Linked DNA regions of Arabidopsis thaliana. The protein of the gene in region 1 interacts with the protein of each later gene in a biochemical or structural test. Each region holds a gene or a part of one and is shown on either strand. Other genes may lie near its edges.

Evidence for each region. Proteins that work in one complex are often made in the same cells at the same time.
Region 2: the proteins of AT5G53360 (region 1) and NAC1 form a complex in vitro, tested with the Arabidopsis thaliana proteins (one study listed by BioGRID).
Region 3: of the proteins of AT5G53360 (region 1) and LHY, one has a biochemical effect on the other in vitro, tested with the Arabidopsis thaliana proteins (one study listed by BioGRID).

The regions. Positions count from the first base shown.
Region 1 is NC_003076.8:21,646,151-21,650,107, forward strand, and holds AT5G53360 (TRAF-like superfamily protein), read left to right. Parts: upstream 1-1,672; 5' UTR 1,673-1,947; coding exon of another isoform or gene 1,948-2,124; intron 2,125-2,225; exon of another isoform or gene 2,226-2,327; 5' UTR 2,328-2,334; coding exon 2,335-2,670; intron 2,671-2,753; coding exon 2,754-3,119; 3' UTR 3,120-3,417; downstream 3,418-3,957. Other genes in the region: CLPX (CLP protease regulatory subunit X), read left to right, coding at 110-180, 281-380, 477-581, 672-734, 815-937, 1,031-1,192, 1,282-1,353; PMEPCRF (pectin methylesterase PCR fragment F), read right to left, coding at 3,533-3,957. UniProt on the Arabidopsis thaliana protein: E3 ubiquitin-protein ligase that mediates ubiquitination and subsequent proteasomal degradation of target proteins.
Region 2 is NC_003070.9:20,946,071-20,950,866, reverse strand, and holds NAC1 (NAC domain containing protein 1), read left to right. Parts: upstream 1-1,585; 5' UTR 1,586-1,722; coding exon 1,723-1,921; exon of another isoform or gene 1,922-3,137; coding exon 3,138-3,418; intron 3,419-3,520; coding exon 3,521-4,015; 3' UTR 4,016-4,296; downstream 4,297-4,796. Other genes in the region: AT1G56000 (FAD/NAD(P)-binding oxidoreductase family protein), read right to left, coding at 4,766-4,796. UniProt on the Arabidopsis thaliana protein: Transcriptional activator that mediates auxin signaling to promote lateral root development. Activates the expression of two downstream auxin-responsive genes, DBP and AIR3.
Region 3 is NC_003070.9:32,879-39,492, forward strand, and holds LHY (Homeodomain-like superfamily protein), read right to left. Parts: upstream 4,880-6,614; 5' UTR 4,691-4,879; exon of another isoform or gene 4,521-4,690; 5' UTR 4,495-4,520; exon of another isoform or gene 4,326-4,494; 5' UTR 4,184-4,325; coding exon 4,145-4,183; intron 4,044-4,144; coding exon 3,932-4,043; intron 3,808-3,931; coding exon 3,746-3,807; intron 3,294-3,745; coding exon of another isoform or gene 3,212-3,293; intron 3,122-3,211; coding exon of another isoform or gene 3,086-3,121; coding exon 2,852-3,085; intron 2,770-2,851; coding exon 2,689-2,769; intron 2,597-2,688; coding exon 1,523-2,596; intron 1,450-1,522; coding exon 1,114-1,449; 3' UTR 1,103-1,113; exon of another isoform or gene 784-1,102; intron 712-783; 3' UTR 501-711; downstream 1-500. Other genes in the region: UMAMIT28 (nodulin MtN21 /EamA-like transporter family protein), read right to left, coding at 6,020-6,176, 6,258-6,409, 6,531-6,614. UniProt on the Arabidopsis thaliana protein: Transcription factor involved in the circadian clock. Binds to the promoter region of APRR1/TOC1 and TCP21/CHE to repress their transcription. Represses both CCA1 and itself.

The sequences.
Region 1 (3,957 bases):
TTTAAAATTTGTAATCGACATGGTTTCTTGTTTTCTTGTTTAAGTTTGATTAGTAGTCTCCCCTGTAAATCATCTGTTTTTTACATGCGGTCTTGTTGACTATCTACAGATAGACACAAAGGACATACTCTTCATATGTGGTGGTGCTTTTGTAGACATTGAAAAGACTATCTCAGAGAGGTCTGACTGATGAACATATTTCAAATTCCTCCGTTTTTTGTTTCTATCCTCTAAACTGAATTGCGTTATAAGCATATGAGTGTGTTTTTTTTGGTTCCAGGCGCCATGATTCTTCAATAGGGTTTGGTGCTCCTGTACGTGCCAACATGAGGGCTGGTGGTGTTACAAACGCCGCTGTTGCATCAAACCTAATGGAAACTGTAGGTCTTTTCATCTCTTCACTCACCAAATGTTGGGTGTTCTTCTACTTGTTTTGGTTTGTATCGAAGTTTGAAATGAGATGTTTGCTGTTGCAGGTGGAAAGCAGTGACCTGATTGCTTATGGTTTGATTCCTGAATTTGTTGGACGATTTCCAGTTCTCGTCAGTTTGTCTGCTTTGACTGAGAACCAGCTTATGCAGGTACTAGGAATGACATAAATATGTGACATTGTGATTTTTGCATTACTAGACCATGTTCATAGAATATGCAGTAATATCATTGGATTGCAGGTGTTGACAGAACCCAAGAACGCTCTTGGAAAGCAATACAAAAAGATGTACCAGATGAATAGTGTAACTACTAATCTCTCTATCTCTATCTCTCTCCTTCTGCTCCAAAGCTTGAGACAAGTCTCCATCTTCTCTTTCTTCAGGTAAAGCTGCATTTCACAGAAAGCGCACTGCGGCTTATAGCTAGAAAAGCAATAACGAAAAACACGGGTGCTCGTGGCTTAAGAGCTCTTCTAGAAAGCATCCTCATGGACTCTATGTACGAGGTAAATACACCTCTTATTACTTTCAAATCCGTTTTGCTAAAAATCCGTATTCAAACTCTTTTCACATTTCTGCAAAACATTTGTTTTTCTCAGATTCCGGACGAGGGTACAGGCAGCGATATGATAGAAGCGGTTGTGGTGGATGAAGAAGCAGTTGAAGGAGAAGGGCGTCGAGGCTCTGGAGCTAAGATTCTCCGTGGTAAAGGAGCATTGGCTCGGTATCTCTCTGAAACCAATTCCAAAGATTCCCCACAGGTAAAAACCGAGCTTTTACTTAACCGATAACAACTGTCTGGTTTGTTTGATAACCTCATTATCTGAATTGCTTGGCTTAATTGTTGCAGACGACAAAGGAGGGATCGGATGGAGAAACTGAAGTGGAGGCAGAGATTCCATCTGTTGTAGCAAGTATGTAATGATCACCACCATCATCATCATCATCATCAGAAAATGTGGTGAATGTATCTTTGTATGCGTAATATTTACCGTTCTTTGTACATAAATGAAGGAAAGAAAAACAAAGTTGGATAAGAAAACACAAGGATGCACAACTTGCACATTGATAAATGATGATGTAACAAACTTTTTATCGTATGCAATGTCCATCTTTTCATTGATGTATCTTATAATTCAAAGTATTCAACAAGAAAACGCTCTTGTAACAAATAATCTTATTAGGAAAATTCAAACACCCATGTGTCAGATTCTAATAACCGTCGGATTAAAATCCAACCAAAAAGCTTTAAATCTGGACGGGTATAATTAATTCCTCAAACTTCTTCTCTGGAAGAACAAAAAAAGATGAAACAAAGCCAACGAAGAAAAGCACAATTTTGGCGAAACCCAGTGAGAGAGAGACAGAGAGAAAGGAGGGAAATTCCAGCTTCCCTTTTCTCTCTCGTTCTTGCTCTTTTGATCTGCGTGAAAAGAAAGAATTTTTATTTTCCCGACAGAGAAAAGTCCCAATTTTTAAAATTAGGACTTTTTGATTTTCGAAAATTTTGGTGTTAATGGAAACAGATAGTATCGATTCCGTGATCGATGACGATGAGATCCATCAAAAACACCAATTCTCATCAACCAAGTCTCAGGGAGGAGCCACCGTGGTAATCTCTCCGGCTACAAGCGTTTACGAGCTCCTTGAATGCCCTGTCTGCACCAATTCAATGTACCCACCAATCCATCAGGTTCGTATCTCATCATCTCCTAACATTGGAGGGTTGAGAAAGATCTTATTGCTTCTTACGAATATAAAGTTCCAATTTTTATGATCGTTATCTTCAAATGATCTGATTTGTTTATCATTGCTATGGTATGTTACTATTGAGTTTCTTGAGGGTTTATGGATGTTTTGATATATGTATGAGTGAAAAAGTTTCTTCTTTTGTAGTGTCATAATGGACATACTTTATGTTCAACCTGTAAATCAAGAGTGCATAATCGCTCTTGAGAAAGTAGCTGAGTCGCTTGAGTTACCGTGCAAGTATTACAATCTTGGATGCCTTGGGATTTTCCCTTATTACAGTAAACTAAAGCATGAGTCTCAATGTAACTTTAGACCTTATAGTTGTCCATATGCTGGCTCGGAGTGTGCTGCTGTAGGTGACATTACTTTCCTTGTTGCTCATTTAAGAGATGATCATAAAGTCGATATGCATACTGGATGTACGTTTAATCATCGTTATGTTAAATCTAATCCACGCGAAGTAGAGAACGCTACTTGGATGCTAACGGTTAGCATTGTTCTTGTTTATGATTTACGAGTTCTTCAGTTGTCTGAGATTCTGAGGGGGTTCTTTGTTATATTGTTTTGTAGGTGTTTCAATGTTTTGGTCAATACTTTTGTCTTCATTTTGAAGCGTTTCAGCTCGGTATGGCTCCAGTTTACATGGCGTTTCTGAGATTCATGGGCGATGAAGATGACGCACGAAACTATACATACAGTTTAGAAGTTGGAGGCAGTGGGAGAAAACAGACATGGGAAGGGACACCAAGAAGTGTCAGAGATAGTCACAGGAAAGTCAGAGACAGTCATGACGGTCTTATAATCCAAAGAAACATGGCACTCTTCTTTTCCGGTGGAGACAAGAAAGAACTGAAACTTAGAGTCACTGGAAGAATCTGGAAAGAGCAACAGAATCCAGATTCTGGTGTTTGCATAACCTCTATGTGTAGTAGCTGAATCAAAATCAGCCAACCCTTCAAACCTATCTTAAGGTGTTCGTTCGATTTCTTCAATTCGATTTTGTTTCGGGTTTGTGTGTTGTTTTGGTCCAGAATCCAGATAGCTTCTTTACATTCAAAAGTGTATTTAGAGAAGTAAAAAGAGTTGTTCCATTTGCCAGAAATGTGCAGAAGGTCACAAAAGTTGCAATAACTTCCAAAGATTGAATATTTCCATAAATGTATATATTCACATGGTAAGATCTGAGCAAAGATCTAATACAGTAACATATTCAAATCATATCTTTATTTCATTCAAGAAGATGTCCTGTCATATAATAAGTACACTTAAAATGGCTTATGGACTATATTACAGATCTTGAGTTTGTACATAAAATCATTCGTATACGTAACATACAAGGCTGAGACAATCTATTGTGACAACCCGGAGAAGAAGGACACACCGGTGGATGGCAACCACGAAGAACCAGAAATGAACTGAGCCACCGTAAACTTACTAGCCTCTACCGTTGAGGTAATAACATGATAACCAGGCCATTTGACTCGTTGACCAATTCCTGAACCCAACCCTTTGTTCATATACTCACCATAGTACAACGAGTCCAATGCAAACGGACCATTCCACTCCAACCATCCTCGCGGGTCAATATGGTCACCCATATCCGACATCATGTACACAACTCTAGAATACAACTTCCACGGACGGCCGAGATACGTCGGATAACTACCCTTAGAGGCTTCAAGATCCGGTGTTGCTAGTAGCTTACAAGCATGAATCGAAATCCCCGTATTCTGATTCGGATCTTTTCGGTTCTGAGCCGTAATAGTAATCTTCT
Region 2 (4,796 bases), on another chromosome or scaffold:
TAGTTGAATGATACTTTACCTAATACGATATTAAGATGTATTTTCTCTTATTGTTCGAAGGCATATCCGAATAAAATTTTGGCATGCACTGTCTTTTCCTACGGTGATAAGCCTTGATCCGTTAGAACCCTCAGCCGAAATAAACTTATCAAAAAAACAAAAACAATAATTCGTATGCATGGGCTAAAACATACAATATTGTATCATAATGGAATGCACAATACCGCACATAATCCAAGAACTTTGGTTCTATCCAATCGAACGGAGAGGAACTATAACTCCGATCAAAGTACAGTTGAAATTAAATAGAAACTCAAATAGCTTTTGTCTCTATCCAATATTATCAAAAAGTTAATAGAATCGAAGTAGTTTGACCAAGTCAACTACAAACAAAGCTTTTGTTAGTTGTTGTTGTGGCCATCACTTCTACTTCTCCAATGTCACAAACGACAACATCGAACCCAATACTTTCACTACTCTTTCATTGAATCTTACATCTATATATATGGACCAGCTTCTTCTTCCTCTTCATTATTCAATAATCTCTAATAAACATGATTTTAGTTAGTTAACATTCATTATTGTTGTTCTAATCGCTAATAAATATTTCAAATCATTTAACGACTACTAGCATGTAAACATTAATTACGATGATCTGAGGTAATGGCGAAAACGACACTGGCTTTGTTTTATACACGAGGCACAGCAATGAAATAGACATATCCACAATTAATGGGCAAGTTTGAGTGTTTGTATTTCCAAAATCCATGTATAAAAATGACCATTGGTTAATTAATTAGCAAAACTTATTCACCGATTTTATTAAACATATAAATCGTGGAATTTAGTATAGGGCAAGATGAATGGTCCACGTCTTTGGGCCACGCGGGCCTTTCAAATCCAGCTGTTCACATGAATTATTCTCATTTGATTTTACTCGGATTATATGTTGTTTTTAAAACTAAGCAATTTGTGTGTCTATGACTACGTCGACAAATGATTATACAATTGGCGTGTATTTTAAAGACGGAGATTACAATGCGATACCATAAACAATAATCAGAAAAAACTGACATGTGTTTCATAGTATAAACTAATCCTACTAAAACTATTTCGAAATAATTAAACCATTCAGACACGTAAAAAATAAATCAAAACATTAATATACTAAAAGAAATGAACCAATGGAAGCTAGTATTACATTCTTTAATTGTTGTCTCCTGTTTCATGGCAGCCATGCCACTGTTTATGTATACAGAGAGCATAATGCGTTATCAAGAAATTAAAAACCAATTGACTAAACCATTTTAACATTTTCATTATCTTCTTATGTTTTGTAACATGCAATAATATAGATGATATATATCATAGAGAATGTAGACTTTTTCATATTATTATCTATGTGTATCCTCAGCTATTAATTCTGTCTAGGCAAAAATATGTGAGTCTGTTTGGAAATGATTATTGTTTTGGATAGAGTACGTAATTAATAATTGATTTGAAATGGAAATTAAATACTAACATATGATTATAGTATAAAGTTATAAAAATGATATATATAGAAGTTGACGGCTTTGGGTGGGCAATTACTACTTAAACCAAGGGTCTTCCTCCTCGGACACACCCAAATGATCCCAATAATTATTCTTCTCTTTATCTCTCTTTTCCTCTTAACCATCCACTAATCAAACACTAAAACCTAGAAAAAAAAAGGATCAAATCATGGAGACGGAAGAAGAGATGAAGGAAAGTAGTATAAGCATGGTGGAGGCAAAGTTGCCTCCGGGATTCAGATTTCACCCGAAGGACGATGAGCTTGTCTGCGATTACTTGATGAGACGATCGCTTCACAATAATCATCGACCACCTCTTGTCCTGATCCAAGTCGATCTCAACAAGTGTGAGCCTTGGGACATCCCAAGTACGTTTTCATTCATTCTTGACAACAGTATCTTTATTGATCCATATATCTCTGTTTTACTTTGATATGGTTGGTCCATATAGAAGATTATGTCATGATCTTCTTTCGTGTTCATGGTTTTCTAGAAACAAAACTTTAGAAGTTAGTTAATTAATCCATATCTACTAAAACAAAAGTTGGAACCAATAAACTTTAAGATGATGATGTCACCTCATTTATTTTGCATCCAGTTTATACAATGTAGTCTATTTATCACAAAAACCTTATTCAAACATATAACAATACTAGTCGATTTATATAATGTTATGGATTGGGGTAAAATTAATACACATATATACATACTTTATAAGTCTTTTATTTTCATGATCAGATGATTACAATTTATAAGAAATTTACATATATTACGTAATAATATGAAATTAATTCGAGAGGCATAGATAATTGTATACGAGAAGTTGACACTCTTGGCGTTATCCTCAACCAAATTCTTGAAAAAAAAGCTTTGGATAAAATAAAATAAGAGTAACGACGAAAAAGTCAATATCTCGATTTTGTTGGTTTATAGCCTTTAGAGTGTGACATATTTTAAGTTTCAAAATGTAAAATTCGTTGGGTTTGATCAAAATTAGTATTCTTATTCTCTCCTTTGCTTACGCCTCTAATGGGTCCTGATTAGTTTTCAAATCAATGTTAAATTGACCCTTCAACTACATAATAATTATTCAATGCTTAGTCGTCATTCATTTGATCAAAGATATTTTTCTTTATTTCAAACAAAATTCCACAAAAAAAAAAAAAAAATCAAAATCCTACTCATTTACACGCGTTGGATTCCTATTCGTTGTTTTGGTTGAATAATCACATGTTGACATGCTTTAGTTCAATCCCTCACGGATGTATCTTTTATCTATACTATTAATCGTAAATCCTAAAATAGCCGATATATTTGAACATGGCATATCTTATAAAGAAAAAAATTCTCGTTATGAGATTCATTAAACTTTTCTATTTATTTTCAATAATATCCTACAATTTTTTTGTTGATTAACCAAGTTAAGTTTTAAAAGCTAAATGTTTCTAAACAAAAGGACAAAATTTATACTATTGCGAGACAAAAAAGTTGGCGCTAACATTTAATCACATGATCAGTTTCATTATCCTGTAGTGTATAATACAACTAAGCGTGTTTGTGTGTATGTTTCAAACAAATGATTAGAAATGGCATGCGTGGGAGGGAAGGATTGGTATTTCTACAGCCAAAGAGACCGAAAATACGCGACGGGGCTGAGAACTAACCGAGCAACGGCCACCGGATATTGGAAAGCCACCGGCAAAGACAGAACCATTCTAAGAAAGGGTAAGCTAGTTGGGATGAGGAAGACATTGGTTTTCTATCAAGGTCGAGCTCCTCGAGGCCGTAAAACCGATTGGGTCATGCACGAATTCCGTCTCCAAGGATCTCATCATCCTCCCAATCATTCTCTGAGCTCTCCAAAGGTATACACAGTTAAATAATCCAGTTATTGATCGTCAGTTAATCTCTTCTTAGCAAATCTGTAACGAGTAATATACGTGTTTATGTGTTGTTGAGGGAATCAGGAAGACTGGGTCTTGTGTAGGGTATTCCATAAGAATACGGAAGGAGTTATATGTAGAGACAACATGGGAAGCTGTTTTGATGAGACAGCCTCTGCATCGCTTCCTCCACTGATGGATCCTTACATCAACTTTGACCAAGAACCCTCTTCTTATCTCAGTGATGATCATCACTACATCATCAATGAGCACGTACCCTGCTTCTCCAATTTGTCACAGAACCAAACCTTAAACTCGAACCTAACCAACTCAGTCTCTGAACTCAAGATTCCATGCAAGAACCCTAACCCCTTGTTTACTGGTGGTTCAGCCTCAGCCACGCTCACAGGCCTCGACTCATTCTGTTCTTCAGATCAGATGGTTCTCAGAGCTCTACTCAGTCAGCTCACTAAGATTGATGGAAGCCTCGGGCCTAAAGAATCACAGAGTTATGGAGAAGGTAGCTCGGAGAGCCTCCTGACCGACATCGGTATTCCAAGCACTGTTTGGAATTGCTGATGATCGAGTGTAACGAGAGTTACTATTGCTATATTCCTATCCATGATTGGAACAATTCTTCGGGGGGAAATAACGTGTGCTTGTCTGATTGTACAAACATTTCCTCACTCTTGTACCCACGGTAGATTCATGTAAAATACCACTTATGACGCTAGACATACATATATTTCATCGTAGTTCCATTTGTTTCAAGGTATTAAGGACCTCTAGAACAATTGATCAAAAAGATAATATGAAACATCACTACCTGTGTACATGATGGGATAGGTGATTGAATAGCCAAGGCAGTGGTTCCTGAAACAGAATTTAAATAAATCAAAATCAATTTTCGGAACAAAAAACCTCAGAATAACAAGTTTTCACGGTAGGAACATATATTGAATCCTTTGAGTCTACCAATGCACATAGATTCATCAACGCATAGGCATTCATCTGGTATGTATCATCAAATAAGCAGAAACTGTCAAGATAATTTACATTGCTTACTTTCGTAGATGTTGCCAATTAAATCCATCAAAAAGCACTGCGACTGGCACTTTCATCGATAGAACTGCGCTGGCTATCATTTCTCAAGGAACAAAGTAGAGATTTAGGAAGATCACATGATATTCCGATATGTATCTGTTTCATCGGCCGATAGAGTTCACGAGGGAGATTGTCATAGTCATTTTACATGATTCTAGTAGAATCTTTATATAAATGTTTTTGTTACTCTGTTTTGAGGTATTGGGGACACACTCAATAGGGTACCTATAAGCAGCTAGAAGTCTGCAAAAGCTTT
Region 3 (6,614 bases), on another chromosome or scaffold:
GAAAAGATGTATACCAAATCTGTTCACTTTTTCTCTATAGACTCGATGGATGATTGAGATTTGAAGCAACAAAATACCCAGAAGATTAAACATGGAAAAGCATCAAACTTTGATGATCTTAGAACGATGACAAAAGAAAAAAAAACGTACCTTTGGATCGAAACGAAACAGCCGATTGTTGTTTTCTTTATCGCAAGGATGATGAAGAAACTTTGGGAGAGAAACAAGTGAAGCCCGTTGGTCTAGCAAGTGATTGTAAAATGTATATATGAGTCACCACCGAGATATACGGATCAAACTTTTATATTATCGTAACACTCACTACACTACCACTCAATTATTTACAAAGATTTACATCTTTTTAAAAATACTTTATTTTTTATTACGAAACATAGTTTGTGTTTTTGCGGTCACTCCTATAATCTATGTAGGATACTTGCATTACATTTTTCACAAATAATTTGGTTTGGTAGCAAGGATATGGCTCATTCAGTGAGAACAAAAAAATTGTATATCTACTCATTCATCAGTAAACCAAATTAAGAGATTGAAATATTGTATAAACTAGCTACACAATATAAGCCTTCTTTAGGCCTCTATTACTTAAGCTTGTAATAGGGAAAATGTTGTAATGTAGGCCCAAGTAGTGTGAGTAAAATCTTTAAGGCCCAGCCTAGCACCTTTGGGCATTTGGCGTTGGGCAACGAGCGCCTTCAAGTTTGAAACAAACAGAGAGAATCATTATGAAGAAACACCAAAAGACAAAACTTTCTAAGTTGTAACTTTTGTACAGTTCATCTTTTATCATTATAAACTATTTATGATCTCATCAATCAATATCCACAATTTTTAAAAAGAAGAATAAAGACAAATCCATTGCTTAATGGTTAATTAACAGTAGTAGCAGATGACATATAGACCACAAGTAGCATACACAAACAGAGACAAGAGACAAGACATGGGGTAATATGGTACAGAACCTGACATGACCAAAGAAATGTTCGGAAGGAAAATTAAAAGTCTCTTTCATAAAGATTGGAGAAGCAAACTACTAACACTAGATTTAAAGATATTGATAAAAATGTGGATGTTTTTTTTTTACCTCCAAGTCTGTCATGTAGAAGCTTCTCCTTCCAATCGAAGCCTTTTGCAGACTTTTTCATCACTTTGATTGTTTATGTTCCCAACTTGGCTCTCTTTCACTTCCATTGAACATCTCTTGTATGGCTTAAATCCTGTCTGTCTCGTTTTAAGACTCTTGCATGTTCCAACACCGATCATTACTACTCCTTCTTGGTCTGCAGCACAAGAATCCTGGCTTTTGAAATTAGGAGCCAATGGCATTGACGTGTCACTTTGTTTTCTATTCACATTCTCTGCCACTTGAGGAGGCGAAAAGCTTTGAGGCAATCTTTCTCTTGCAAAGAGAGCCTGAAACGCTATACGACCCTGAAAATATTTTGATAGTGTTAGTTCCCAGAAGAACTCTGCAATATCCATGAATCATTGGTTTTTGTTTTACCTCTTCGGAGACTTCCTTCCACGAATCAGTAGTTGCATTGTTGTTGCTGTTGTTGTCTCTCATTTTAATCTTACGGTTATTTAACTCAATAACATCTGGCTGATTCTCATCTGTCTCCTTCACATCCTCTTTATCTTTCTCCATTTTATCTAATGCATCAGTTTCTGCGTCACTCCCTGAAGGTGTATTTGAGCCACAGGATGAGCGGTCCACAAGATTTTTCTTCTGGGCAGTGTTTGAGTCATGCACAGCGGCAGTAACAACAACCTCCTCAATTTTATCATCATTGGTTTTTGAGTCGGCATTTAGCTTGGTTACTCCAGTCTCATCTGAATCATCAGATGATGAAGCTGGAGATTTCGAAGCCAAGTTTTGATCTTGCAGAGCTGTGTTTTGTTTCTCAAACGGTTGAGTATTTTCAACGGTATCCATTTCAGTCATTGCTGGAGTTGGAACTGCAACAGTTGAGAATGGAACACATGTTATTGGAGCTGGAGCGCATACAGGAAGAAGTCCATGAGAAGCCCACCAAGCAGTTGCAGCAGCTACTGTAGCAGCGGCAATGGCAGTTATACTTGGAGGAGAAGAGCTCATTGGGGTTGATGAATCACCAGAATTCCCGACACTCGCATAAGGCCAGACCGAAGCAGCGAATGTAGCTGCAGCATGAGCTGCAGGATTCTGTAGGAGAGTTGACATAATAAGATTGGAGAAAGTAGATGATATCTGGAGAAACGAACGGTAATCATCCTGTGAATGACAAGCTGGAAACGCTTGATGAGAAGCTGTAGTAGTAGCAGATGCTGTTGTAGCTTGAAGATTTGCGTGCCCGTGAGTTTCTTCTCTCATAGGATGAAACATGAAGTCTTGAGATACCATACCTGAGGGATGATTTTGAGGGCATTTTGCTATATTCCCGTTCACAATATCTGCGTGGAAATGCCAAGGGTAGTTTTGCATGCTGTGCACAGTAGTACCATCGTTACCATCTTTGTCTTTGTTCTTCTTGGGAACATCTTGAACCGCGTTGTCCACAGTTGAGGTCTTACTTGTTTCAATGTCGCCACTTACCTGCTAAAAATCAGAATGGAACAAATAATTTGTCATGCACTTGAAAGCATTCATCAGATTCTTCGACTACAATTTTGTAGCTTTCTTAGACTTACTTTCGTTGGTAAGGGATACTTGTTCACAGTAGAAACACCCGAGCAATTCTCATCTTGATTTTCTTTTCCAGTTGATGTTTTCTAACCAGAAAATAAAACATAAGAAGTCTATCACAAGACCACCAAAATGATAAAATGAAGAAGAGAAAGATCAGGAATAAACCTCAGAGAACGGCATTTTTTCCAAATCCAAGAACGCCTGATTCAACTGTGAAGAAGAGGCCGATGAAACAAGTTTTGCATCTTTTGCTGATGATACTTGAGAGGAAGATGTACCGTTGTTCCCAGGCTTTCGAGGATAAGGAGTATTGGGTTTTCGTTTAGGACGAGGAGGCGGAATTTCTATGTCCAAAGCTTGGCAAACAGGGATGCCTTTAACTTCAGCCTCTTTCTCCAACTGAAATGTGAACCAAAAACTGTGAGCTTTTCCAAACTGGAGATGGAAAAATGCAGCTCAGATGTGAAATCCTGAGATTCATGAAATTGACCACATCACCAAGGTTGAAAAAAGTCTTATACTGACCCGAATTTTTCGGGGTAGAGATGATAGAGTTACTTCATGTCCTGTCCTATAGGGCAAGGAGGTTTGGTTTCCATATGGATGGCTAAAAGAATTCATGCAATCCCATTATTTCATCGACTTTAGTGAATATGGGACAATTGTGTCATCCAAATGCAACGCTAGTTATGTTAATTTGGACCTATCTTATGGTCTCAGAGAAGAAAGCTCTCTGTAGAGTTTTTTCTAACAGTAAGTTTGGACAGACCAATCTAATGTTAAGTTTAGTTGAACAGAGTAAATGAAAAAGATAAAAAACGATCGAGATGCAATCCTCGGAACCAACCAACTCTACTTAGCAAAACACACTCTACTTAGACGCCTAATTTCTAGTTGAAGCAATTAGAGAAAAGGAAGAATAAGAAGAACCTTCTATCATCTTTTCCAGACAGTGACAGGCAACTTCTAAACATAGTCATAGATCGATATGAAAAAATGGTACCTTTACACAAGATAACGAAAGTGTTTTAAAAAGATCTGAAAGGATCATCAACTTACCTTTGTGAAGAACTTTTGTGCATGACTTCTGATCTGAACAGCAGTCTTTGTCCCAATATGTTCTGCACACAAAATGAAAAGAAAAGAAGGAATCTCCCAATCAAGAGGAGATAAAGACACTCCTAAACAAAGGAATATAAAATCTCAAAGAGTTCAAACTAAACATTCAAAAGATAAACTTTCGACCTTCAATTCGTTGCCAAGCTCTTCCATAAAGCCTCAAGGCTTCTAGAAACCTCTCATGCTCATCCTCAGTCCATCGCTCTCGCTGCTTTGTTATTGTATATGGCTTTCTTGCCTAAACATTTGAAAACCCAAAAGAAAATCAAATCTTCACACAACAACAGTCCAAATCTCTCAAACAAAAAAACACCAATCTTATTTCATTAGTAGTAGTACCTTAGCTAATAATTCTTCTCCAGATGTATTAGTATCCATAACAGGACCGGTGCAGCTATTCGCTGCTTCAAATCCTCTCTAACAAGTAAAGTATAAAAAAGAAACCATCTTTGATCTCCCCAAACATGAAAGTTTTCAAATTGCAAAGCCGTTGTGATAACCTCTTTAGATTCTAGAGAAACTGCAAAGGAGAAAGTACTTTATGAGAAATATTTATCCACAAACACTAAGATAAGAGTGATGAGCGAAATTCAAAAGAGAAATCTTTTCAAAGTCCACCGTGAAACAGTCGCTGCTTCTCCAGCAGAACTCAAAAGAATTCCCTTTATTATTATTCACAAAAGCCTCACCCAAACGAATCCACCGCAGCCAAAACCTTCACAAATCTTCATATCAGTAATCAATCACCAGATTCGTATCATTTATGCTAACTTTTAGAGCTAATAAGATTTAGTTAATCGCTTCTATAAGTTTCTCAGCAGCCAAACAGAGATCTTAGTATGTTATAGGAATCCTAGAAACTGCTCATAATGTAAACTGTTATACCCTTGAGAGTAGCCATGGAGGAGACAAGTATGCAATCTGACTTATCATCTCACCGGGAACTCCCCGGAGAAGTCATCGTTCCCGGAAATAATCAAATCGGAAGCAAAACAAAAAAAAATCTCTAAAAATAAATTTAAAAAACAGAGAGAAGAAGGAAGAAGATAACTGAAGAAGAAGAAGAAGAAGAAGAAGAAGAAGAAGAAGGAAGACTGTTTTAGGCTGAAGAAGACTGGAAGAAGAAGAAGAGAAGCCAGAAGCAATCTCAGCCACAACAATTTTTCCCCTAATTTTTGGAAAAATTTTAATTGAAAAGTTTATTTGAGGCTGGAACAGCACCAAGGGTATAAATGGAAAAAACAGAAGTCATCGCAGATCGACACGTGGTGATATTGTAGTGGCTGTCTACTGCACTTTTTGGTATATCTCAAGTTGCTTCTCTACGAGCCAGAAGCTTCAATGTGAAGCTCACGTAGGTAAAAGTGAGTGTGGTGGTCCACAATTGCTTACGTGTAAACGATTATTGGTACAAACTTGGACGACTAAACAAGTGGGTACGGTGCCAGCTGTGATGGTGTACTGCTACGTATTGGCTATGCTGGATCTGGGCTTGTAATAAGACATTGTATGGGCCTCACTTTTACGCCTATTCTATATAAATTTGCGTATTAACATAGTTGAATTAAACCCGACAAGCTTGGACTGCTCGGGGAACTTGCGTCTGTATAAAAATCTTCATCTTTTCATATAATATCATGCAATGCCTATACAAAATTTCAACAAATTATCATCGAGAACTTTGGTCAACTTGCTTATATAACATTTGTAGAAATTAAGGAACATTAATTACTCTTAAGTCTTAACCGAAGCATGTAGTATTTATTTATGGAATTCAGCAAACATCATTACACTCATTTTTTTAGATTCCAGCTTACAACTGTGTTTTGCTTAAAGCAGAAGCGTTTAACATAGTTATAGATACTCTAATGTTGGAGCAGAGCTTAGTTGCAATATTTTTTGAAGTTGACGGCCTCATCGGTCAGGAAGCCACTACAAAAGGTTACCGAGAACTTTGGTTAGTTCGGTTCGGTTCTAGGTTAACCAAAAAACAATAGACCAGTTTTTGTTACTAACCGAAGAACTGAACTACCCGAATCTAATTGAAATAACCGAAATTATTCCAAAATAACCAAACAAACCGGATTTAAATATTTCACAAATCTCTACGTTGATGTTTGGAATTATAAAATTTTATCTCTCATTACCTCTCCTTAAACATTAACTAGGACATAACAGTTATTTGAAACATACATTAACAACAATATAATTAAATTAAACGGGCGACTTAGAGTCGTTATCCTTATTAGGAGTAGTATATTGAGCTTCGTTATCCATTCCTGAAGACAATGCAGTTGATGATTCCGTTTCTTTGTTCTTCCCCCACAAGAACATGTAGAGACCCGTTATGGTCACTAGTGATCCAATCACACTGTAGACCAAAAGTTTTAATGTTGTAATTAGTGTTATGCCTAGACAAAATTAATTTGATAGAGATTATCGAAGAAGATACCTTCCAAGGTATAAAGGAGTGTGTAAAATGAGGAAATCAAATAGAGTAGCCGAAATGAGAGTAAGTGGGAAAAACGCCGATGCGAACACAGCTCCTAATTTTTTAATCCCCCATGTTGTTGCAACCGTCGTCATTGCTTGTCCTACCACTCCCTATAATATATGATAAAAAAAAACCACATAAAAAAACCCACATTAATATCTTAAGTTCTTACATACTAATCTTATAATTTTTAAAAAGTTAATTTATAAAGATATGATGTTTGTAACTTACAGCGTATATGATGACGGTGATAACGAATCTATCATCTATGATCCAATCATTAACGTCTCTGCTCTTGTAAAGGCTCAAGAGAGC